Caenorhabditis elegans: one gene and its partners. The protein of the gene in region 2 interacts with the protein of the main gene of each other region in a pairwise test. Each region holds a gene or a part of one and is shown on either strand. Other genes may lie near its edges.

Region 1 (5,905 bases), on a different chromosome or scaffold from region 2:
TTGTCAAATATTTTCAGATAACGTTAACATCTGCACTTACATGTTTGTCTTGCAACTCTGCGGTGGCTTTCATTCGTAACAAGCTCCTTCCAGAGCACATTCGAAGTCTCTTCAAAACCAGTTTTTGCAGTTTCCAGTTGAGCAGTCATGTCTCCCATAGTATAGAAAAGGACAGGAGTAGCAGTTACCATAATCAAGAAAGCACTTCCAGAAAGAATGACTGCAAATGAGACAGTCGACGAAGACGACTCCATAGTTTTGTAACTCATTGCTCGAAACAAACAATGGAGAAAAACTTGGTTGATGAATGTTGTACCCCACTACCGTCTTATATACAACATGTGTTATCTAAAACTCTGATCGGTATGTTCCGGAAGTTGTCCTACTCCTTCCCAATCTTCACTTCAAACCACTTTCATTTGTATTATCTGATCCTTGCTACCGCTTCAACAAGTTTTTGCATTTGCATATTCTGGATACCAGGCTATTCATTCCATTTTGTTTCAAACGTATCAAAATTTTATTATTCACTCCATAAATTGAATTATGACACTTCATATTAATCGAACACCTATACAATCGGCTCAAAAGAGAAGAATATATAAAAATAGACGAAATCAGGCAACGGGAAAAAAAGGTAAAACAAACAAAGACTACTACAACGACTATACAAACTCCTCAATAGGTTATACATTAGGTTATAATAATAAAAAACAACGGATTACAAATGGAAATAAGGAGCAAGATATCGCTGGTGTAGATCAATGCCAACAATGATAAACGGCATGCTTACAATTTTGGAAAAAAAAATGATTGAAAGAGCAAGTCTGTCTGTCAATGGGTAGGAAATCTTCAAAAAATACTAATCCCCGAGGTAAGAAAAGAACCAAAAAAACAAGAAGAAAAAAGTACCCCGTTTTGAAAAAGGTGAATAAGAGAAGTTGAAAGAAATGTCATCGAAGGCGTCAAAAATGGGTAAGTGCGCAAGCTGAATTACTCTATCTAAGCAACAATAATAATAATCAATTTCAAATCAACTGTGGTTCCATCATCTGCTGGCCAAAGTTTGCGCCAAACAGCATTTGAAACTCGTCATTCGTTGGTACCAAAATTTCCGGATCTGCTGGCTGAGGCTGAAAAAAAAGTGAGCTTTAGTTATTTGTTCAAATATTAACTTTTGTAAACGTACAACAATTTCTCCAGTTTCAATCAAACTGCTAACTCGCGTGTGGTAGCTCATGTGCTGATTGTAGCTGGCCTCGTCAGCAAATGGTCTATAGCATTTCTGAAAAAATATATATTGTATCGTAAATCCAACAATAATAACAAATTTTCAATCATCCCACAGACAGAAAACCACTCAAATTACAACGTTATAGAACTCACTTCGCAGAAAAATTCAAGACCCTCCCGATGATTTTCGTGTTCGAGTGTGTGATGGCTGACACAATCCATTCTGGTCATGAATTGAGACTTGCACACTGGACAATCATGGCTGAAATTAGGTAGGTTTAATGAAAATTTTAATTTAAACTGTGTAATGTGTTCTCTTCTATTATAATAGTTCTATTAGTTCTATTAGTAATGCACTGCTCGATTTTGGGAGCTTACAACTCAGTTGGTTCAAAAAAATTCAATAAGTATACAAACCCAGGCATATATTAGGAAATGAATCGCACCATGGGTGTGCGGCAAATTCGGCAAATTTGCCATGGTTGTCATACTCAGTAAATCGCAATATTTTTCGAGCTCAAAGAGGGCCAAAATTGATTTAAAAAATAAACTACGTTTACTGGTTTTTGTTCGAATTTTGCCTAATGCGCGTGTGGATTTCTTCAATAAAAAATAAAAGAAACACGATGTTATGTTTACTTTCATTAGGTTTCTGTTCAAAACCATTAGTTTTGTACAAAATTTTTATAAAAATTGTTTCATGTGTGCGGCAAATTTCAGTATTTGCCGGGCTCGGCAGATTCGGCAAGTCTACATTTTTGAAATTTACGGAATTCGATGAATTCGGCAAATTCGGCAAATTTGCCGCACACCGAGCGCTTTTCAGATATTATACTTATACTCACTTTCAGTCCTACATTCACTTTTTGATGCTTTCTATGCTTTCAACAATCTTCCAGCCATTTTAAAACAAATTATAAAGTACGCTCTCTTTTAAGATAATAATTCAATCAAAATTTGACGAAATTTCGTAGCGAAACTGTTGCAAAAAATTTGAATTGATGTCAAATCTTTCTCAAACGCACGGAGAGCAGGTATGTATATAATATGTACCGTAATTCTGAGAATTCATGTGCTCAAACGGCATTTTCCACTCCGATTTCTTTTCAGTTCAAGGATAAATAAACTCACGTCTCGAATGCAATGGACTTTGCAATCTCGAAAAGGTTGCCCCAACGCTCAAGAGACATGTTGTTGAAGATAGTGTCTTCGAGACGTCTGATCTTGTCCTCAAGCTCAACTTGTGGCAGAAGATCTCCTCTTCTCAACTTGTCCACCCAGTGCTCTGGTTCTCCGAGTCCAAGCTTCCTGAAAAAAAACATTCGGTAATCTCACATTTTAATTGTGCATGCTGGATGTCTGCTTACTTCTTCTTCGGACGAGGCGGCGGCGTGTAGTACGGTCCTCCGGCTCCACGAAGTACGATGGCGTCGTCAGGGATGTCAGCAGGCGGCCGACGGTTGCTGAACCGAGATTTTGCCAATACTGGCGTTCCGTTTTTGTTAAGATCAAACCTGGCAAACGGCCTCCAGGCAGCTTCCAGCTCTTCCTTCGTCGTGACGTGTGTGCGAAGATGCTTCTTGAGGTTGCCTTTCAGTCTGAAAAAATTTAAAAAATTTGTTTGTTATTTCTCGTATCGCCTAAATAATTTTTGTTGATTATATTTTTGTGTTTTCTACCCGCAACATTTAGATTACTGTCACGAGTGCCGTTTTGAAATGAGTACGGCATGCATCTTATCTACGCCTTTTTCACCATTCTAACACTATTTCTCTTCGTTTTATCGATTGTTCTACAGTGTCGCCTATGGCATTACGGTGTCTCTCGTCCGTCTCTTTTTCTCTACCGTTTCTCGGCCCGTACACTGTACACACCGTACTGCGCATTAGCAGAGGAGAGTCGACTGTGAGAGAATGAGAATTAAGGGGAAACGGTCGTTTTCGCAACCCGCCACATTTTTATTACTGTACATTTGAAAGAGCACAGCGAATGTTGTTTAAAAAAACCACTAACCGACAAGTTTTTCCACAATATGGACAGGCGTGAGGAGTGAAGCCGGTATGGACTGAACGATGCTCAAACAAGTTCGACTTAAACCTAAATGATTTTGAACAAATATCACATCGGAAAGGCTTCTGATCTGTGTGTATCACTGCATGCTGCTGGAGACCTGAAAACAAAATCAGAGTTAGACAAAGCTACCGTATTTTTCAAAAAATTACCTTTATAGGAAACAAATATTTTGTTGCAAACATTACACTGGTGCACAGCTCGAGGGGTCATCATTCCTTCCACCATCTCATCTTCTTCAGGAAACCCCATTTGATACTGAAATTGATTATGATGCCCCTGAAATGGTTTCAGAATTTTTTTGAGTACCTGAGAATAATCCTGCTCATCCATCATCATTTCGGAGTCATCCATGTGTTGATTGTGGTGATAAACTGACTGATTCGACCCGTGAGTCATACTGGAACTGTTGAATTCAGAGAGGGACTGATCCGCAGAATTCCGTTGACTCTGAAAGTAGAGAACGTCTAAAAAAGTAGGGAATTTATAAAAGATTCGATAAATTGAAATTTGAAAGGAGTTTATAAAAGGAAAGGTTAAAGTACAGAAGCGAAATAAAAATGAAAACATGGGTTTCAAGAGATTTCAAAAAATTTTAGAAATTTTTTTTGAAATGATATCTAGTTACCTGCTTAGCATTTCTTCTGGTTAGCATGACAAAATTTGCCTCAGACAGCTTAAAAACAGCTCGAGACTGCTAGATATTGCGAAAGAAGCGTCGAATTCAAACTATTCACCTTGCCGCCAAGTGCAGAAAGGGTTATGGTATGAGAACGATACGGTAAGAAATGCGACCACTCGGAGGGGACGCGACGCGGCCGCAGCGCAACGAGAAAACGAGACGCAGGCGCGCAACAAACAACAAGGATAGTGAGCGAGAGGACAGAGGTCACCACCGTCGCTTGCTGTTCGTGGTTTTTACATCGTTTCTGATAACTCAGCAAGTGTAGAATTTAGAAAATAATGAGTTTTTTGTGTATTGCGAGTGTTTAGAAAATTAGATATAAAAAATTAAACTGTATTTTTATATTATTTCGTAATAATCGTCATTTTTTACAATTTTTTTTTCAAAATTATAAAGTGCAAATTAAAACATTTTCATTGCAATTTTTCGGAATTTTTAAAATTGTCTTTTTTTTCTAAATAAAATACAATTTTATGAAAAAAATTATTTTAGTTTTAGTCATGGTTTGGTCGAAAACACAAAACAGGTGCAAAAATAAGCAGATGCGTTTTCATAATCTCAGGTGGCCGAGAATTGAGAAATTGGTTGCTAATTTTTGGGCTATGGCAAGTCTTAAAAATAATTTGCATCAGAAATGTTTTATTGAAAGTAAAATTAAGATTTAATTATAAATAGAAGTTAGTGCTTGGAATAGTAAAAGTCAATCAAATTATACATGATCAATAATATTTTTCCTAACATAAAAGACATGTATAATATTGTCACAGCTGCTTTTGGAACTGAACAAAACCCAGCAAAAGACTTCAACGATTTTGGCAAATTGAAAAAAGTTAAATGAAAAAATAAAACCTTGAAATTTGAAATTGGAAATTTGAATGAAAATCGATCAGGACTCAGAAAATCGCATCTATTCGCTATGAACACTATTCGATATTCGTGCAACGCCGTAAGCCCCAGACGAAGAGCAGATGTGCATCTTGCCTGCTGCTCGCACGCATCCACGCTGGCTCACCGTGTAACTCCAAGTATATTGGGAGTTGTTGTTGTTGTTGTTGTTGTGGAGGCAGACGTGGTTGTTGTGGTGTCCATTTGGAATCGGAGCAGCAAACGGCGTGTGTTGTTCATGGAAATTGGACTGGTGCTGCGGATGGTGTAAATTCATCATTCTGAATTATAAAATTAAATGTTTTCGGGTTAATGAAATTGAAAAATAAATAAAATAAGTGTATATTAATTTCGAAAAAAAAGTGTGAAAACGGTTAATAGTAGTTTAATACAAAATTAAAAAGTTAGAGATCTCTTGAATTTTAAAGCTTTAGATTAAATTTAATAAGATTTATATATTTATTGATAATTTATTGACTACAAAGCAAGTTTGTTAACAAACACAACAAAACAAATAAAGATTGACATTTTGTGAAACCTATCAGCATTTATACTATTTATAAAAATACCAATAAGTAGTGTTATATAAATTAATTTACCAAAAATAACAAATTTTTTCCAAATGTTTTTTTAAACCTGAGGAGAAATTTGTGTCTTGTTCAGTTTATGTTCATAAGTTTCACAATTCTAATTGAAAAATCTTGAGAAGGGGAGTTTTGGTGAACTAAAATAAAACAAAACGTTTTTTTTTCAAAAATAATATATTAAGCCAGAAACTCGAAAAATTAGTCTTTACAATTAGTATCAAAATTTTAAGGATACCTAAAGTTTATAGTAAGATTCCTTCAAAGTGAAGTGTTCTAACAAGAGTGTGAAAACTTGTTCGACGTCTCAGAAAAGAAGTACAATCGCCAAGTTGTTCTGGGAAATTAGATTAAGAGAAACGAGCACAAGTTGAGAAACTCCCTCTACTCAGATACTCGGCGAAGAAAAAAAAACGTGAAAGATACTTTTACCATGAAGGGTGCCATC
Region 2 (7,772 bases):
TTGGGCTCGACCACTTTAGTCTTAACTTGAAACGGTGTTAATAATAGAAATAGAAATTCCCAAGAAAAAAATGTTAAGAGACTTGGAGCGAGTTAGCAAAAATAGGTACCGATTTGTATAAAAGAAAAATCGATAATAGTCACAGCCTCTATCTGAGCTTTTTTGAACGTTTTTCAAACTTCTTGTATATTCTTAAGAATATGTTTGTGTAAAACGCATTGAAGCTAGTTCCCTCAATTTAGAATCTTTACTATCCAAGAAAGTTTCAACATATTTTCCCTCAAATTCCATAAATATTTTCAAACTTCTCTCACCATTGGAGGAGAGTATCCAGCATTAAGCATGGAGCTACATGAATTTGAATGTGGAAGATATGGTCCAGATGATAACAAATCATCATTTGTCTGTGTTGCCACATCTACCCTTCTCACGAATCTTCGATCAGACATTGGCGGTGAGATACTCTGCAAACAAACAAGAAATTAGATTTTTGCACACTCTTATCATTGCCATTTATCAGTTGGTAGTTGGCAAATTTCAACTTTCAATTCTCCGAGAAACTCCGAAATTTTATAGTTTTAATGAGTTTATAGTTTTAATGACAATTAAAAGAAAAAGATAATGATATAAAGTTTGATCTTTCAGTCATTTTTAGTGAACTGACCTCTAAACAAATTTCAGCTGGATTCTCGAATAGTGGTGGGCTAATGCTGCTGCTGATAAGTTGATCATCAAATGTTCTATCTCCAAACATTTCAGCTAACAAGTTATCTCCACTTGCACGTCCTCCAAGAGCTTGACAGAAATGCATGTTTTCAGACATCAATCCGGAAAGAGTCTGAAATGTTTTGAAATAGAGAATGCAACAGTAATGACGACTAACAGTAATTGTTGGCAGAAGAAGCAACAAGTTTCCAAATCGGCTGCTTGCAGAATAGATTGGATGAAGCTCCTTGACAATTTGGAAAAGCATATCTTGAACTTTATCTCTCAACTCAGAAATCGCGTGCCTCGCATGCTCGGATAGTCCTTTTGCATTTGGATTTAAAATAATAATTGCTTTTAATGGAACAATTTCTTCTTCTTTCAGATTTAATTTTCTCAATGGAGCCACCAATTCATTTAACGTTCGATCAATCAGGAAGTTTGAGAGATGACTGAATAAATCAAATTAATTTTCTTTAATTTTAAATAGTATTTTTCATATATTTTTATTGCGTTGATAAAAATTGGAATTAAATTAAAATTCCAACTTACTTTGTCTCATTAAACTCTGGAGGCAATCTTCTTGGAACAAATGAATGACTGCAAAGACACAAAATATCCGGATTCTTCGTATTCTGAGCAGTTCTCGCAGAGAAATTGAAAATAGTTAACGGCGAGTAACAACTTTTAACCAATGCAACTTTATCTTCAGTATCAACTGCATCCGCAATTTCAGTTAATGAATCAACCCAATCAACAGCTGCAATTGCTCTTCTATGAGCAATTACTCCAAGTTCTTCAGTTCTTGCCATTCGAAATGGTTCATAACCAATTTCCATCCGTCGACCATCTAATGCAGGTTTTGATTCAAACATTTCCCGTAATGAAATACTTTTTGGATCTTTTGCAGTGTTTTGTGCACTCATATTATTATCTCCTTTTACTACTTTATCCTCAATACTCATCAATTGCATTAATAAAATTCGAGTCTCGACAGGAAGTTTTCGTGACCAATCATCTCCTTGTAACCGCATCTGAAAATTTCAAGTATTAATTTATACATCATTCATGTATAGTGTAAGTTATTCTGGATTTTATCAACAACACAAACTAAATTTTAACTGTTTGAATATGCATAAACATTTTTCACTCGATTATTCCAGAACAAATAGAAAACATCACAAAAAACACTCAAATCATTTTGAGATTTTCCATAATTTTATGTCAAGTTTTTGTGAATTGTCAAATTTTTGGAAATTTTAAATTTGCCACCAGTTTTTTTTCAGTGTATCTACATTTTCAAAACATACCATATGATTTAAAAGCTCCTCATCAATTTGCTTCTTCTTAATTCTTGGAACTTTCTGTTTTCCTGTCTGATCCCTATCCGGCCTGACTGCTTTTGGATCCATTCCTGCTTGAATACAACGTTGAAATCTGCAGTATCGGCAACTATTTCGCTGGACTGAAAACCGAAACTTCAGGTATTTTCTTGATTATAAAGATACTCAGTCAAGTATATTCGAATTTATTCTTTAAAAAACTTACATTTATCAACAATACAATTATTTGAGAATCTGCATGCATATCGATATTTTCCAGTCAGTGTTCTTCTAAAGAATCCTTTACATCCATAACATGCAAGTACTCCATAATGTAATTTTGCAATTCCGTCACCACAAACAGCACAAACTGAATCTCCATTCTGTGATCCACCACTAGAAACTGTGGGTTGCTTGTCACTGGGCCTGATGATATATGACGTGGCGGGACCACTTGATGACGTGGCACCGCTTGTCCTTAAATCTCCTCGCATCATTGGAACTCTGGAAATTTTAAAGTTAAAAGATCGGGAAAATTAGTTTCAAACACAAAAATAATAAAATTTAAAAACTAGAGTGTGTCCTTGAAATTTTGATTTCTTGATCTTCCCACAATAATTTGTGTCTTGGAAAATACAACGTTTTTTGGTGAAGACGGAATTACATTTTTCAAGTGATTAAACTTTCAAAAGAGTATTATATTTGATACGGTTTTTTCAGTTTCAAAATTGCAAAATTTTGTGTGTGGAAGCGGAATTGAAAGTCGATAGGCACTTTTTTGTTATTGTAAAAATTCATTGCTTAATCGGAGCTAAATGTGCAAAGTTTTCTAGCCAAAAGGCATTTAAGAATCCAATTAAAAAATCATTGGAACAGTGACCAATTCCATTGATGATAAAAAAAATTCATAATTTCAATTTGTTGCAAACTATCAAAGTTCACACATCAAAAAGACCAAAAAGTTCCACGTGGAAAAACTGACGTATTTGGGGGAATACCTATGGGGCGGTGTCTCTCTATGATAATATTACAAAATGGGGGAAATTAAGTGGGAGTGACATTGAAATAAAAGGAGATGAAGGAGGAGAAGACGACGACGATTTACTGATAACAAGGCGAAAGAGACACTGATTTGAAATAAAGAAGAAGAAGAATACAAAACAGAAGACGCTTGAGAGGATGAAGAGAAAATGAAAACATAAAGATTAGATGTCACTAAGGTTTTGAACAAATAGTAAATAATTTGTTTAAAACATTTTAACACCTGTAACTTTATTTTAGAACAGTATTTAAGCTTGTTTTTCACATCAATTACTTGTTTTTTAAATCAATTACACCAGTACAAAATAATTTTTTGTTGATAAACTACTTGTATATTTGAAAAAATGCACTCCCAAAAACATTATTTTCTCAATTAATCTTGCTCAACTTTGGCACCTGATATCTTGGCTATTTTCGATTGAATCAATTTAAAATCAACTGGCAGCAGATGTATTATTAATTTTTCTATAGTTTCAAAGCTTAACTTTTTTTTTGTTGAAACGAACGGAGGTATATACTTTCACAGTAAAATAGTCCGAGTTTTTGAAGTTTCATAAGCGTTTTTGAAGAATTATCATGCCAGATTTCGAACAGTTCCTAGTTAGGAACTATACTGACCAAAAGAGACTGTCGAGAAAATAAGAACCAAAGGAAGAGAGATAGTAATGGAAAAAAGAGAATCGAAGAAAAGAAACGAGAGAAAAATATGAGGTGGTTCGTGTCCGAAATCTCGACCTCCGAACAAGGCAAGTAAACAGGCGCGAACCTTTCCTCAAAGCACGCACACAATGATGATTTCCGCTTCGTTTATCCGCACAGAATTTTTTTTCTTCATTTTACAAGAATTTATTACCTATCAATCTTATAACCCTTGTCCCCCTGTAGGCTTGCCAGACTTGCCAATCACTTTCTAGGTCATTCTACTAGAGGAGGGAAAGGTGATAAAGATACATGAAACACAGACGAGAAACGGATGATGTCAGTAATAAATTAGAGATAGCTTTTAGCATAGGATGCCTATATTCTCCAATCAAACACTTAAATCTTCTTTCTGTTTATCCTTAATTCTAAATTAAAAATCAACGATTCGAATCAGTAAATGTATGATGTCATATTTATATCAAGACGTGCAGACTAATTGGGCTAATTGGATGTATTGCCTTTTTGTAAAGATATATTAGAAGATCAAATGATAGAGCCTCTGACTACAAGGATCCAAAATGTCACCAAAATAAATAAAATCGTAATGCTTTTTGTCTATCGAATTTTTTTACGGGTCTCATAAAATTGGAGGAGGCATTTGGAGATAAGATAACTTGTATCAATTGTTGTTTACAGCTGAATAAGGAAAAGGTTATTGGATAGGATAGGGGAAGTTAACATATACTAGTTTATCTATAAGTAGATGCTGAATTGTGATCTAGAATCAAAGCTGGATTATATTTTAAAATACTTTAATTATCCTGTTTAAGCTTTGCACACGAACAAACTACTAACTAGAGATTTTTTCAAATTCAAATATTTTATACTAAAAGTAAAAACCCGCAAAAATTATTTTTCGAATCGAGTAGAGAATACTTTTAGCTATTAACCTTGTGGAGTGAATACTAAACTGTCTTTCTGAAAACTTCTAAGAATATAATCAAAATTGAATCTCAAAAGAAACTTCTCACTAAATTAAGTGATCTTCTTCAACCGAAGAACACATCTGACTCATATGAACCGATGCAGTTCGTCTCGGTTTCTTGTAGCAAATTCCTTTTATCAATCACAATCATATCTTTCTTCATTCATTCAAATTGATCGATTACCGTCCTTGAACCCTTTTATTTTACTTTTTCTCAATTTCCATGTAAACCATTCCTCAAGTAGCATTCAAATCACAAAGATCATTCACCTATCCCTTTTTATCGCAATTTGATCATTCTTCGCGCGCATCTTGTCACGTGCCTCTTCACTCATTTCCACGCCAAATTTCAAAGTTTCCACGTGGCAGGGTTACTACTAAAGTGGCAAGACAGTAGTATTTACGATCGACGCGCTTTTACAAAGTATGTGTGAGATGGTGGTGATCAGAGGTAGTAGTGCCATTGATAAAATTGCAAATTATTATCACAAAAATGGTTGTTGCGTCGTGGCGGGGCAAGAATAAGATAACAAAGGGGAGACTCTGTCCTATACAAAAGGGAATTAGAATTAAAATGCAAATAGAACACGTACTTGCAGCTTCTTGAAAACTATCTAATGGCTCTAATGAGTTGAGATAATTGCTCAAAAGTTCATTTAAATCATTGTCAATTGATCTGAAAACGTCAGAAGATCAGCGATTGATTGCCAAAATGTCGTAATTTCTTTGAAACTATCAAATGCTTTGATATCAGAATAGATGTAAAAGTTTAAGGCCTGAAGGGATTTTGTATCACATTGACTTTGAATAAATTTAGATTTAGCATTAAATGGGGTTTCAAGTAAATCTTTTCTTTTCAATTTTCAATGTTTTTATCAAAGAGCCACTAGAGCTATATATTTGAGATAAAATTTTTTGGCGGCTTCGGTAAACAAAATTTTTTGAAAATTATTTATCTCACAAGTTCAAAAAATTAAAGAAAAAACTATGAAATGATCTCCAACTGATCAATTGAGCAAATAAATCTTAATAATTTGATATTAATTCTCAAAAAAGTTAGGGTTATGATGCAAGTTCAAATGCACAGAAAAGTTATAATAATCGATTTACTAACCTTTCAACTTTCACAACTCTTGTACCAGGTCTTATTGCATAAGTTGGTTCTTCTTCAAGATATTCATCACCCCAATACTCCCAATCTTCGACATCAAGTTGTTCCATTTTAACAGATGGTGCTGCAAACGGCAGCGTCGATATGGGAAAAATTTTGAATTAATTGAAATTAAAATTCGTGTTCTTCTATTTGTTGTTGCTGGAAAAAAGTATATATAAATGTATACATATTAAAGCAACGGATTTCAGAAAAATAAACGGTGAAAATGAAAGAAAAAGGGACGGTAATTGTGGTCGGAAGGTGGACAGGAGGATAGACGGACGGACAGGATGGATAGACGGTCAGGCGGATTATTAAACGGGTTTAGGTTTCATTTGTATATATAAATATATGAATGTGTTTAGATGAAAATATATATGAAAACGGAAAGAAATTAAACGGTCAATGTATTGAGGTGTCGGGTTATCACATCTTTTAATGAGATTTTGAACGTAATTTCTCTGTAATTAAGAAAATTCAATTTTAAATAAAATTATCTCCAGAAATAGAAAATTACTTATTTGACTAGATTCTACATAGTTTGTTTTAAAACCTTTCTTTAATAATAAAATATTATTTACATCCCGTAATTTATATATGGATTCCTTTTACCTTTCTCTAAGTGAATTAAAGTTAAGAAAAAAAATCGAACGGTCAGTTTAATGTGTACTACCTCTTGTACGTCCAAGTGGATCATTTCAAAAACATTGTTAAGTTCTAATCAAATATTGATAAAGTTAGGTAACGACTCAACCAGTCGCACTTTTCTTATTTTTATTTGATTTATTGGAGAAAGAAACGAGAGTAGGTTTCCATTTATTATCTATTTCTCGTTTTTCTAAATTAATATTTTCATTTTAGAATTTAAGAATTAGCTTCTGATAATAGTTCATGTCCCCCTTACAAATCAGAGTCTAACGTGGCAGCAGCCAAAAATTTGTGATTGATGATAACGAGTGACGGTGGCGGAGAAGGACGCAAAAAAAGTTTGCCAAGCCAATTCAGCAAGCTGGCACACCACCGATTATTGTTCTGATAACTGAAAAAAACCACGTGTGAAGAAGAGGAGCTGCCAAGAGATTAAGGATTGTTTAGTGGACATTTTAAATTTAGAAATCCTTTTTTGAAATTTGGAAAAATATGAATAAATGAAGCTTGAAGATTCAACAAAATTTATGTTATCAATAACCAAACATTGTTATGTTTTCTTCAAATGTTCTAAACTTTTGGTAATTCTCGGAGTTGGACCAATTCAAACAATATACAATTCAAAACTATTTTGGAACCATCCAGAATACTATGGAATTAACATGAAATAGAAACATAAACGTGTAAGTTATGTAAATGAAAATATGGAATAACCGAAACTTGTTAAAAATGCAAAATGACGGAGCGGATTGGTGAAAAGAAATACGGAGAGGATTATGAAAATGTATATGGCTACTAGATTATACAGTACTTTGAACTATTCGTAGATCATTTCAGCTCTATGACGACCACAACGATTGTCCGATTGTTCTTTTCAGATTTTTGAACTTTTAAGCGAAAAAAATTGAATTTTAAAAGTTATAATGTAAAGAATACACATTAATATGAGTCGAACTCTTGGAGATTATAGAAAATATTTAAAATTCTTAATAAAAGTTGAATAGACTTTCTGACTTTACTTGATTTAATCAAACTGTTCTTCGATAATAAATTGGCACAAACTGATAATAACCTGCCAATAAATCATATATTTGTGTTTCGACTTTTACTAAAGATTCTGCAACATTGAGACGTGAGATGGGAAATCCCAAGTTGATGGTTTCAAATAGAAAAGGAAAAGAAAAAAGAAACAAATAAAATATGATGGTTCTGGTGACTGTGTGTGTTCCGCCTGAATAGTAACGTAACAACGACGGGATTTTGGGCGATAGGGGGA
Region 3 (7,114 bases), on a different chromosome or scaffold from region 2:
TACAAGCAATATACTATCACATATTATTGTAATGATAGAAGTAGTGAAAAAGAAACTCACACAGAAATTGCTATAAAAATGATCAACCGGAACATTACCAACTTACATTGTTTCATGTTTATTTTTGTTATTTATTAAGTAAAATAATTTATAAGAACTTTTTCTAGTAGTCTTGTACCACAATTGTTGAACATTGAAAGCTCAAAGTTGTTGCTTTGTCGGAACATTTTCAGTCGGAACAAGTGCCAAATATGTGTGCTTTTGATATTCCAATAGTTTAACAAATTTGAATAGAATCCAAAACTCAAGATATGAGTTGCCACATAAGAGCAGTAAAGATTTAAGCTTAATAGAAACAATACTAATACGGTAATACGTATATTTGACGATAATTTTTGAATAGACATTTTGAAGCTATTTTTGTATTTTTAAAACTTCCATGAAATTCAATCATCGGGTTACTTTACTAAATAGTTTATATTTTACTTATTCATAGTTTCGACTGTTTTGTATTTTAAGATCAATGTTTACTACTGTTAGGCTCCTCAAGTTGAATTTCTGTTAATTCTATTGTTTCCAAGATGATATTTCATTCTGAAACTCTACTCCTGAAAATTCAACAATTGTTTTCATTTAAAATGAGCAACTGTAATTTTCTATTCATTAAAGTATTTTTTTTACCATTTAAAAGGAACCCATTCATGAAAAGTTCAATAGTTTCTAATAATGCAATAATCCACAAAAACATGTTCATGCCGCAATTTAATTTTTTCTTGACCTAACTGATCATTTCATTTTCTCATTTCATTTCAAAAAGCACGCAATATTAATGAAACTAGGACACCCTCTCTTAATTGCTTTTGACATCAATTAAGTTGAAATGTTTCTTTCTTTTTTCAAATTTTGCACTTTTTCAATCATTTTGAAAGTAGAATATAAACAAAGTTTTTTGGAAAGATGCTATTGCTCCGAAAATCACGAGGAACGAGCGGATTTGAGAGGATTTCTGAATTTATCGATGATAAAAACAATCTTCTTATTTTCGCGGCCGTTTCTGTAAAACATTTGCTTAGATGTGATAAGTCATTTGAGCAACATTCAATTAGTGAACTTTAGGTTTGAATCCATTGTTTCGGGAGATGTATCGTATCCCAGAGCTAAGAAATGCACAAGAGAGCATGGCTTCTTACCCGCTCATTGGCGTGAGACAAGAAATGGGCGGGACTTTATTTTCGGGACATTCATGGCTCGTGGAGCATAACATACACGTAGTCTCAAGAACCGACTAACGACATTTTTTCTTAACTTTCCATACGAGTTTGATCATGAGTCTGAAACATTTGACTAGGCTTTTTATAAAAGTTCATTAGCTATTCAAGCTAGCGTGCGGTTTTTTTTTCATGAATACTTTTTTTTTCTGAAATTAGACTTTTAGCTAATCAAATTTTTTCTTTCTTTTTCTTTTTTGTTTTCATATAATAAACAAAAATAAAGAGAAAATAAATTACATTATATCTTTGGTTTCGCTTAAATATTCACCTCAACTAAATCGTCAGAATCGTCTATCCCGAATTCGACTCGCTATGTTTATTTTCAGAGGCCTTTTTCAACAAACATGCTGGGACACAACATTTTGACTCTTGGCGAGTGCGATGAGCTGGACAATCATATCGTGATGTGCAGCACCGGGCTTCTTTCTCCGCAGGAAGACTTTAGTAATGGTAGGTTTGGAAACATATTCTTCGGATATACTCGATTAAAATAAATAGGTATTTTTTGTATCTGTACCCCGAAATGTTTTCAATTTTTCCAAAAATTAAAAATGTTTTCTTTTTGTATTTTAGACGCAGGAGCAATCATGGTTATTTACGTGTTGACATCATAGAATTTTATACACTGAAAACATATTGGGTAACAGCTAATAAACAAGTACCATATATTGCTCGTATTTATCAAAATGCATAGTGTGAAGAATTGATTTTTTCAGAGAATGCCAGCTGTTGAGCTGCAAATTTGTTTTTTTAATCACAAACCCCTTAAAACCGGGACAAGGGACTTTTTAGTAAACATCTAGAAAATTAGTTCAACACCATTTCGTGAAAACATTTCATACTTCAGAATCATAAGCAAAAACGTATTCCCCATATTCTTAAGTCATACGACAAAAAGAAAAGAAAAAAGTCCATCCTTGTCATTTCGCTTCCTGTCCTTTTGAACATTACCGACAACTACACCATTTTTCTCTCATACTTCATATTACAATAACAGTAGCCAACGGCAGTGGCCTTTGTCGCTTATCACTTTCTTCTCCTCGCGTTTTTTTAGTTGACCATCCTTTTGCCTATTGTGACTCAATATTACACACTGGAAACGTTTTTCGAAACCTATCACACCTTTTCGCGCGTTCTCGGATACCTCGTTTCGGGCCTCGTGTTCGTATTTTCTGTGTCTCTGAGCAACAAAAATAGCATAATATTTTTGCTAATACTGGACCATCATTCTTCTGGAAATTTGATATTTTAATGGTTGGTCACACCTCCGCGCATCATCCGTACCTTTAGCAGTTTATGGGGAGGACGCACACCTGCAAGCTTCTGGCGATGAGCATTGAATTACCGTTAGGTTCGTTATATCCCTCCTCCTGTTTTCTCTCTTGTTCCTCCAACCTGTTTAGCCACAAATTAAGTAAAAACAGTAGGAGTCAACAATATTATGACAGAATATATAAGGTTTAGTGTGTAGCAAGGGAAAATGGACAAGACAAGGAGAATGTCAAGCATAAAGCATGTGTCAAGAATATGTGTCAAGAATGGGTATCTAGCCGACACGCCGCTATATGAAACAAGTTGAATTATTTATTACAGTTAATGCAGGCCATCCGAATAACGAAGAAGCCATTTGTTCGCTTTGTGACAAGAAAATAAGAGATCGGTTCGTTTCAAAGGTCAACGGAAGGTGGGTTCACTGTTCTTCTCTAGTATTTTTTTCTCGACAAAGTTTCATTCTTTTCAGATGTTATCATTCATCATGCCTCCGATGTTCTACGTGTAAAGACGAGCTTGGTGCGACATGTTTCCTGCGCGAAGATTCTATGTATTGCCGGGCACACTTTTACAAGTAAGATGGTAGTTTTAGCTTTTTTTGGTATCACAGAAATGCGTAGTGCGGCTTTTTAGCTTTCTTACTCACATATTTTGAAATAGAACGGAGAAGTGTATGATAACAAAACATTGTCTTTGAAAGCTTATGTTTTTTTTTTTTTTAATATTTGGTGCGAAAACATTTTCAACCAGAAGAATAGAATTTAAATTCAACTTGGAAACTAGGGGATAGCTTTTTGGTAAATCTTAGAATAAAAAATTAGAGAACGATTTCAAACATTCAATGATAATAATAAAAATTTAAAAGGTTTTTTTGAGTAAACGTTCAATTTTCTTTTATAATATAATATCACAGCTCTCTGACTTCAGATTAAAATTTTTCTTTAAAAATAGATGACTACAAAAAATATGGTTGCAGAGTATCACTCTAATAAAAAAAAAGTTAATCTGAAAATTATTCAGTGCGTTACCGTAAACTTGCTCCAATAAGGTTGATAATTTTATTTATTACGGTCTTAAATTTCTTAAAAATAGGAAAGCATTCCGTGAAAAAAAAACTTTTGAATTTTTCCGGAAAGTTCTCAAAACGTTTTTGATCGAGTTTAATGAAAAAGTTTCAGATTCAGTAGTATTCAAAATATTTTTATAATACTCAACCTTGAAATCATCAGAAGTCATATCAGAAGTCATAGAAGAATTGTTTTTAAGAGTGAACAAAAACATCGAAAAACTTTCAAATAACATGGGTTTTCTTTTTTGGAAATCTATATGTGAACCGAAATATTTACTTGTCATTTATGTCATTTATAAAAAACAAAAGAAAATTAGAATACATCTGTCAAAATAGTTATAGTTGTAGAATTTATTATTCGATTGAATAAAATCTTAATACATATAATTTTGTACATTGAAGCAAATGAGTTTGTTCATGAAATTACTCGTACTAATAGTTTTCGTTTCTACCAAACCCACCCATAACGTTATTTTTTCAAGTGCAATGTTTCAATTTTTGCATTGTAAGTTTTGATAGCTGAACTGCATTCGTCTTCTTTTTTTTCATTTACAAAACTCATAACTTCAGAAAATTCGGTACCAAATGCTCCTCCTGCAATGAAGGCATCGTCCCGGACCATGTTGTTCGAAAAGCATCGAATCATGTCTACCATGTTGAATGTTTTCAGTGTTTTATTTGCAAACGGTAAACTTTAAACTTATTGCTCTGAAACTTGCATATTTTTTCAGATCTCTTGAAACCGGAGAAGAGTTTTATTTGATTGCCGACGATGCGCGACTCGTGTGTAAAGACGATTATGAGCAGGCTAGAGATAAACGTAAGTGATCAGTCCTCCATAAAGAGCTACTCGATTTTTCTCAATAGTCTCGCTTCCAGACTGCAATGAACTAGAAGGCGATGGTAGTAACAAGAGACCACGGACTACGATTTCCGCCAAGAGTCTAGAAACCTTGAAGCAGGTGAGCTCTTTCCACTGTTTTTATCATTGATGAGGTGAAGTCATAAAATAAAGCAAATCATTTTTGTAAAGCAAGACAGCGCCGTAGATTGACAAGAGCCACATAAAACCGCAACACTCTGGCGCCATTTGTAATAGAATTGAGTGCAATCCGCTTGTCAGATTCTTTAGTGAGTGAGCATTTCACAACAGAAACAATTTACTGTAATATTAGTGTTACCAATTATAAATTCGTATTCCTTAAAACATTACAATATAAAATATAATATTACTATACAATCGAAACATCCGGAATTGTCTGTTTAGCAATTTCAGGTGCGATCCATACTTTTATTATAAGTGTTGCAAGTGATAATTAAGATAACTTGTTTTAAACAAAAGTTCTCAACAATTTGAGCAGAGTTATTAGACCATTACGTGTACAAAGCCAATAGAACTTACTAGACTACTTTTTAATTCGTCGTTCTGAGTGCACGACTAATAGGAAATCTGCTCTACACTTCAATATAACTATAGATGTATTATTTCAAATGTTTAGATTTATTATTTCAGGCATACCAAACTAGCAGTAAACCAGCTCGACATGTCAGAGAACAACTCGCTTCAGAAACTGGACTTGACATGAGAGTTGTTCAGGTAGCACTTGCCTTATCAAGCGGCTTCGCTAATGTTTTATTTTTTATCAGGTTTGGTTTCAAAATCGTCGAGCCAAAGAGAAACGGTTGAAGAAGGACGCTGGTCGCCGGTGGAAGTCCTCAAATCGTGCAGAAAGCGACAGCAACTCTCCTATCGAGAGTATCAACGGGCAGAGCCCTAATTACTGTGAGAAATTTGAAGCTTATCGCTAAGCTTTTCATTCTTGTTTTGCAGTATACCTGGATCACCCAATGGACGATGGGAACGAGAGCAATTACCTTTTTCACTCCAGAGAGCAGACACCTGATAAATGTAAGGGAATATGAATATAAACTGAAAAAGTTTAACATTTTCAGACTACCGAAACGAAACCCCATCTACCGATCCACCTCCAATGCACATGACAACTCCGAGTGTTCTAACAACCAACTTCTCAACCCCATTATCTTTATCGACTAATGTTTACAACCTTCCTCCTCCTGAATCTCAGTTAATCCCACACATGACTCCACAGTACATTTGAACTGGAGAAAAACAAAAACTCTAGTTTTCGATTACATTTTAATTTGATACTTGATACAACGTTCCGGTTTGGAGTAACGAATGGTATAATATGTAGAATATAGAAATGGTTTTTGAATTAATGTAGCCACAATTGTGAGGAATATCTTACAAAATCTTTATTAGTGGTCTTGAATCTTTGATGATGTTTTGATATTTGAGCAGAAACTGTTTCCTGGAATCATATAACTTTACAAGTACTCTACCTCACAAAATAGACGACCCCCTACTCACCAAACAGCCATGAGACATGCTTGAAACATTTTCTCTCTTGCCAAAAACCTTATCTATTCCCTGTTTTCGTATATCTCTTTATTTCTCTTTTCGTTTCATCACAGCTGTTTGCCCATGCACCGCAGTTTTCAACATTTCACCACTTTCTGAATAAATAGGTCCCTTGCCCGTTTTGCTTCTTCCAATACCCCCTCGCTCGCTCGTTTCATACATCTCATAGTCAATATTCGTGTGAGGCCCCCACTCCTCTCCTTCTAAACACTTGTTACGTATCCCTCGACACCTTGACCATTCATTCTTCATCAATGGTGGATGTGTAACACTTATTTCGAAATGTATGATTGATGGTGTTCTTCATACTTTTCTCTCACCCCACGCCACCCCCCCCCCCCCCCCCTTCCCTCCCATCAGTGTTTAATATCCGATCATCGAATTGCCAAATCATTTTGCCATATACCTTTTAATAAATCATGACAGGAATTGTATAAATTTGCCACCAATGAATGCACATCTCGAACCAATAAAACCCATCAATCAATTTGATATGGAATTATGAAAATTTAAAATAAAATCTCTCTCTCTCTCTCTCTCTCTCTCTCTCTCTCTCTCTTTTAAATCGTGTATGTATAATGATCACATGCAGTTAATTTTCGTTCAACAATCGAAAAATTGGGCGATACCCATTTTTCCAAAAATCCCGAAATACGGCACACGATCTTAAAATTTACGTGTCAAAGGAGCTGAATATTATAGTATTTTTAAAATTTCTGAGTATTGGTAATAGACACTGTTTTCTGGGAAATGTGGTTCAAAACCATTGGTTAAAACAATGTGAAAGTCATAAACCTGGTACATTTCACTGAATGAATAATCTTAAAAATTAAAAATTAATTTAAGGTTTAATGTTTCAAAACGTACATCAACGTTTATTCAATAAAAATCAATACAAAAACAAATTTTGGCATCATCAGGATTGAGGGTTTCAGTTTATATATATTACTAAAAAAAACGGTAAAACAAAATGACAGAACATAAAAATGAGAGTTTTTCGAACAATTTTCAAACTTGATCACTTGAAAATTTGAGCAAATCATGACGAATCAACATATG
Region 4 (4,999 bases), on a different chromosome or scaffold from region 2:
TAGGACTTCCTCCAATTATGCCCACAACACTCGGAGGACTGGAGGAACTCCTGCTTATGATGATCTTCCGTGTTTCAATCAGATCTCGAGGAAGAAAACATCCTACAGCCACCAGGTTCCGGAAATCGATGTAGAGCTCAACAGTTCTTCCACATCAGCTCTTCCAATTAAAGAAGAGGTTACTACAAGGAGCCCTGCACCAAATATGGGTTTTTGCGAAGTACGCCAGCTCCCAAAAGACTCCAGAGGGCCTCAGAGAGATGGCTCCTCATCTCCTGATGTTCAGTTCATCAAGACTGTGACTATGTCACGGTTAGAGAATGTTGTTCCTACCAGCTCACGTGGAAAGGCGCCAGAAGATTCATCTGCACCAGCACGTCTAGGATTCCTCTCCGATCGTGCGGTCTCCGGGTCATCAATCCCAGCCGTCGAGGAAAGATCTGGAGAAGGCAGCTTCGACTTTACAGGTCCTTCCACTCCTCGCTTGGCCCAGCCAGCTTTTGGGAACTTTTTTGGGAATAGGGCGAGTTCTTCGTCTTTCGGTGCACCATTGTCAACTCTAGCTGTGGACAAGCTGATTCCGGAACCTCATCTCTCCGGAAGCAAAGCGGTCCCAGACCATCGTTTCGATTTCAAACATTTCAGACGTCTCCGAGCAGCGGGAGGAGGGCCCCTCAAGGCGATCGCCGATGTCTCCATCTAATCAACGGGGACGTGGAGCAGGACACCAGCCACGTAACAGGGAACATACACCGAAATCGCCATTGAGAAACCAGAGGGTGAGTAATTTGCAAAATGACCTAGTTTATTCCTCGATCATGCGAAAAAACCAACTAAATCTATCTGTAAATTTCACAGCGTGGTCGCCGAAGCCCCTCGACAGATGAGTGGACCCCCAGACGTTCAGAGCATCACCATCGTCGTGACTATAGAAGAAGAAAGCGGGATTATTCAAGAGATCGCTCACGCCATCACGGAGATCGTTATTAAATTCCATGTTGCATCTCAATTTCTTTTTCTTCGATTTCTCGAGTATTGAGCCTTTATTCACATTCCTTCTCGTATGTTCATAATAAATATTCTATCTACGTTAAAAGTAAAATATTCTATCTACGTAAATCTCCTTGTCTAACGCTCAATACACAACACAAAACATTCGCCTATTTCTTAGACTCGTAAAACTTCCTGATTTCCTTATGAATTTGCATGATCAACGTGCTGCTGTTTCACTATGAACATTTTCTACTCGTATGTTATCCGAACGGCTTTTATCAATTTAAAGATTAAACTCCAATATTTGAATGGAAATGAAGATGTGATGGCAATGATCTATTCATTACTTCTTCTTCTGTCTCGTTAAGAAACAAGATTTCAGCCGTTGCAAAGAATTATATTTATTAAACCCTCAATTCAAATTTCGCGCTCTTTCGAAGACGGGATATCGGAGTGTCGTTGTTTATTTTCAATTTTATTTTTTATTCGCAAAAAATCAATATTTGACTTTTTCTTCTATTTAAAACAGTTTTTGTTGAATTTTTCCTTTCATATAAATATTATTAATCTTTAAAATTTTTATGTTTATATGATTAAATCTTCCTTATTGCCATTAATTGTGTATTTTTCCAGATCCTAAAATTCGATAAACAACCAAAATGAAGAATAACGAGGATTTAGACGAAGTAGTACATTTATCGCAAGTAAAATAACTAATTTCAATTTAGTTTTCCAATTTTCATTAAGAAAATCAAAAATTTTCAGAATTCCGATGCAATTTTCGAGGAATGGGCAGCTGAGTGCACTCCCGACGCGCAAAAAGAGCACGAAGAGCTCGAGGAGATTGTCAAGATTCCAGATTCGACATACAGAAAAAAGTATGAAATTTTTGTGCTAAAAATTTATTAAATATAAAATTGAAGGAAAGGAAATCAAAAGTTGCCGACGGTGACGACGTGCGAAGTATGTGGAGTTGCGTTGAAATATCCATCGAGGATTATGGTACAGAATATTTTATTTTTATAACAAAATGAAGATTTTTATTTGTTCAGGAACACATGAGAACTCACACAGGCGAAAAACCATACGAATGTGACATTTGTGGAATGAGATTCACTCAAAGAACTCCAATGATTAACCATTTTCGTGTTCAACACATGGGTGATCTCCCATTTCTGTGTAATTTCGGTTGTGGCAAACGATTTGTGAATAATTCACGCAGAACTGCACACGAATTAAGCCATAATGGATTGGTAAGAAAAGTTTTTATGCTATAGAAAAATTTAAAACATCGAATCAAGCATTTATATCCTAAAAGATTACCGGAATAAGATATATTTTTTGCAGAAGCGAGCAGGACCGGCACGGCCTTATCTGAAACCAGTTAAAAAGATTGTTTGTCCATCAATGGATATGGATATACTTTCAAATTCTGCACTAGCTAATTATATATCACCACCAACGATGTAAGTATATGCAGAAGTGAACTAAACTTGATAAAATAAATAAAAATTACAACAAAAAACAAGAATTATAAGATTTTACATTTTTTAAAAAGTGAATTGCGGTGTTTAATCAGCAATCTTTAAAATTGAGATTTTAACACTTTTTGTTCTTTAACAAATTTTAAAACAACATTTAAAAAATCGGTGTTTTAATTAATAAAAAACTTTGATAATTTAAATAAAACTCCTGAAAATTTCTAAATTCGAAAACTTCCATCTTATTTCCGAATTGGTAAATTTAAAAGAAATTAAAATAACTTTGCAGAGACTCAATATTTCAAAGTGATCCATCAACTTCTTCCTCTTCACCTTCTCAATTTCAATCATCAAATCAAACAACAAAACAATCTATATATCCATCAGAAAAAGAAATGGAAAAAGCTGCAATATCTAATGCTCGAATTGATGACGTTATTAATACAGTATTGGCTCGAGTTTTGGCTCCGATTGATGAAGAAATTCCGATCGAAGAACCAGAAAAAGCTCCTCAGAAAAGAGCATATATTTCAAATCGAAGAGCAACACTTGCACAATGCAATATTTGTGGATTAATGCTTAAACATCCGAGCAAAATTGCTGTTAGTTTTTTTTTCGATAAAAAACGAATTTTGGTGAAAAATGAAAAATTAAAATTATTTCAGTGCCCACAAGCTGAATTTTTGCTGAAAAATTGAGAATTGGACAGAGAAACAATTTTTTCGATAAAAAGCATTCGAAACTTGATTTTCTGAGCAAACAGAAAAAAATATTTGTAATTAAAATTTTTTAAATCAAAGCTTATAGGTTTAAATGTGTTAAAAAACAAAATTTCCAATTTTCTCTCTATTTATAAACCTCTCAAGTTCTGAAATTTCTAGAAAAATATAATATGATTTATTATATCGAAAATTGTTGAATTTTCTAAACTTTGAAATCAAAAATTACAATTTTTAATAAAAAAAAGAAAGATAAATTTATTTTTAAATACAAATTTCTTTCCCATTTTTCAGGATCATATCCGAACACACACAGGCGAAAAACCATTTGAATGTGGAGAATGTGGCTTGTCATTGTCAAAAGCGAGCTCTTTAAAAGTACATATTCGTCGAATGCATACTGGAGAACGTCCATTTGAATGTACTTGGAGATGTGGATTGTCTTTTGTAACGGATTCTGTTAGAAAAGAACATGAAATGACTGTACACACTGGTAAATATTCAAAATATATTTTACTATCCGAAATTTGGGTTAAAACCGGGGGTAATTTAGAAAAAGAAAGCAATTTCCATTTTTTTTTGTTGCAAATTTTAGAATTTTCTCAAATTAAGAGTGTTATTGAAAATATGTTAACTCAAAAATATTTAAAAGAGTAGTCATCTACAAAAATTACAATTTTTGAAACATTCCAGGTATAAAACGTTACACATGCGTTGTAAAAGGATGTAATGCAGTATTTGCTCGTCGTGTATATCTCATGAGACATCGAAAAAATGCACATCCCGAGCTCTTCACACCAATTTTCGATCATGTTCAAGTGAATCACGAGGAATCACAGGATTCAGTTATTGTTTATGAAGATGATCATGAACAGAACAATCAGATTATAATGCTCACTGGTGATGGTGATGACGTCAAGATCTTGGCTCATTTTGAAGATGATGAAGAGGAATTTGTGGAGCAAGGAGGAAGCATGGAAGATCAAAAAACTGTTCATTTTTGACCAGAAACTTGAAAAAGCTCTTTCATTTTCCAATATCTAGGCAACTTATAGGGTAACTAGCATTTTCTACTTCATATATTCAGTTTTCTATTCCACCCAGCAATTAGTTTTTAAAATGGAAGAGTTATTCAAATTTCAAATTTCTAGGCCACTATTAAATTTTGCATTTTTTAACCATTTTTTTCATTCAAATTCTAGAAAAATTGTGAGAATTAATTCTCACAATTTTCAGTTTATTTTGGTTAACCTACGAGTTTCTTTTTGCTTCTTTTTTTAATAAAGATTTTTTTTCTCAGATTTTTCAAATTTTTTTTCTTTTCCGTATTCAGTATTTTTACTGTTTAATTATACTTGCTTTTTTTTTATTGTTTGCCAATATATTTTGAAACTTTCTCCTTTCGCAAAAATTGAAAAGATGAGATTTTGAAATTTTTTTTAACATTTTCAAACTTTCAGCAAGCTATTTTTGAGCAGTTCGAAAAAATGTAGCGGTACTTTTTTTTTGAGCCCAATTTTCTATAAAATGTTTTAAAAGGGTTTAGAATGTAAAAAACCAATTAATTGTTTTTTTCAAATTTCACAAAATCCAAAACAAATTTTTTTAGATATACCTTTTTTAATTTGCTAAAAACTTTCTAAAGGTCCAGGAAGGCCCATAAAAAATTAACGTCGAAAAATAAAAATCGATATTTTCAGAAATGGCAGAATCTTGTGTAAAACCTCAACTACCTCGTCCTCGAATTCCAAATATTAGAGTTTTTCAACCAACTACTCGAATTCCCACATTTACATATGAACAATT

What was found.
Region 1: the proteins of nhr-31 (region 2) and lsy-2 interact in a two-hybrid assay, tested with the Caenorhabditis elegans proteins (one large-scale study listed by BioGRID).
Region 3: the proteins of nhr-31 (region 2) and ceh-14 interact in a two-hybrid assay, tested with the Caenorhabditis elegans proteins (one large-scale study listed by BioGRID).
Region 4: the proteins of nhr-31 (region 2) and let-391 interact in a two-hybrid assay, tested with the Caenorhabditis elegans proteins (one large-scale study listed by BioGRID).

The regions. Positions count from the first base shown.
Region 1 is NC_003284.9:2,087,853-2,093,757, reverse strand, and holds lsy-2 (Zinc finger protein lsy-2), read right to left. Parts: upstream 4,055-5,905; 5' UTR 3,959-4,054; coding exon 3,932-3,958; intron 3,754-3,931; coding exon 3,613-3,753; intron 3,562-3,612; coding exon 3,456-3,561; intron 3,404-3,455; coding exon 3,247-3,403; intron 2,832-3,246; coding exon 2,748-2,831; intron 2,697-2,747; coding exon 2,601-2,696; intron 2,542-2,600; coding exon 2,365-2,541; intron 1,496-2,364; coding exon 1,387-1,495; intron 1,286-1,386; coding exon 1,190-1,285; intron 1,134-1,189; coding exon 1,029-1,133; 3' UTR 505-1,028; downstream 1-504. Other genes in the region: col-164 (Nematode cuticle collagen N-terminal domain-containing protein), read right to left, coding at 41-269. UniProt on the Caenorhabditis elegans protein: Involved in transcriptional regulation. Required to specify left-right asymmetry of the ASE gustatory neurons, probably acting upstream of microRNA lsy-6.
Region 2 is NC_003282.8:8,023,507-8,031,278, forward strand, and holds the start of nhr-31 (Nuclear hormone receptor family member nhr-31), read right to left. Parts: upstream 6,008-7,772; 5' UTR 5,917-6,007; coding exon 5,810-5,916; intron 5,152-5,809; exon of another isoform or gene 5,005-5,151; intron 2,532-5,004; coding exon 2,254-2,531; intron 2,171-2,253; coding exon 2,016-2,170; intron 1,740-2,015; coding exon 1,258-1,739; intron 1,158-1,257; coding exon 884-1,157; intron 839-883; coding exon 665-838; intron 465-664; coding exon 315-464; intron 1-314. UniProt on the Caenorhabditis elegans protein: Orphan nuclear receptor.
Region 3 is NC_003284.9:7,527,234-7,534,347, reverse strand, and holds ceh-14 (LIM/homeobox protein ceh-14), read left to right. Parts: upstream 1-1,615; coding exon 1,616-1,721; intron 1,722-2,486; exon of another isoform or gene 2,487-2,635; intron 2,636-2,864; coding exon 2,865-2,955; intron 2,956-3,012; coding exon 3,013-3,117; intron 3,118-4,182; coding exon 4,183-4,299; intron 4,300-4,343; coding exon 4,344-4,432; intron 4,433-4,491; coding exon 4,492-4,574; intron 4,575-5,125; coding exon 5,126-5,209; intron 5,210-5,259; coding exon 5,260-5,395; intron 5,396-5,443; coding exon 5,444-5,521; intron 5,522-5,565; coding exon 5,566-5,732; 3' UTR 5,733-6,579; downstream 6,580-7,114. Other genes in the region: F46C8.3 (US6), read right to left, coding at 7,095-7,114. UniProt on the Caenorhabditis elegans protein: Probable transcription factor, modulating expression of helix-loop-helix protein mbr-1 and homeobox protein ceh-63, perhaps acting in concert with ceh-63. Binds to a motif including the sequence 5'-CTAAT-3' in regulatory promoter elements.
Region 4 is NC_003279.8:6,036,779-6,041,777, forward strand, and holds let-391 (C2H2-type domain-containing protein), read left to right. Parts: upstream 1-1,624; 5' UTR 1,625-1,652; coding exon 1,653-1,679; intron 1,680-1,758; coding exon 1,759-1,871; intron 1,872-1,916; coding exon 1,917-1,995; intron 1,996-2,045; coding exon 2,046-2,246; intron 2,247-2,340; coding exon 2,341-2,459; intron 2,460-2,763; coding exon 2,764-3,076; intron 3,077-3,487; coding exon 3,488-3,686; intron 3,687-3,886; coding exon 3,887-4,197; 3' UTR 4,198-4,489; downstream 4,490-4,999. Other genes in the region: C27A12.4 (C2H2-type domain-containing protein), read left to right, coding at 1-703; szy-5 (C2H2-type domain-containing protein), read left to right, coding at 4,896-4,999.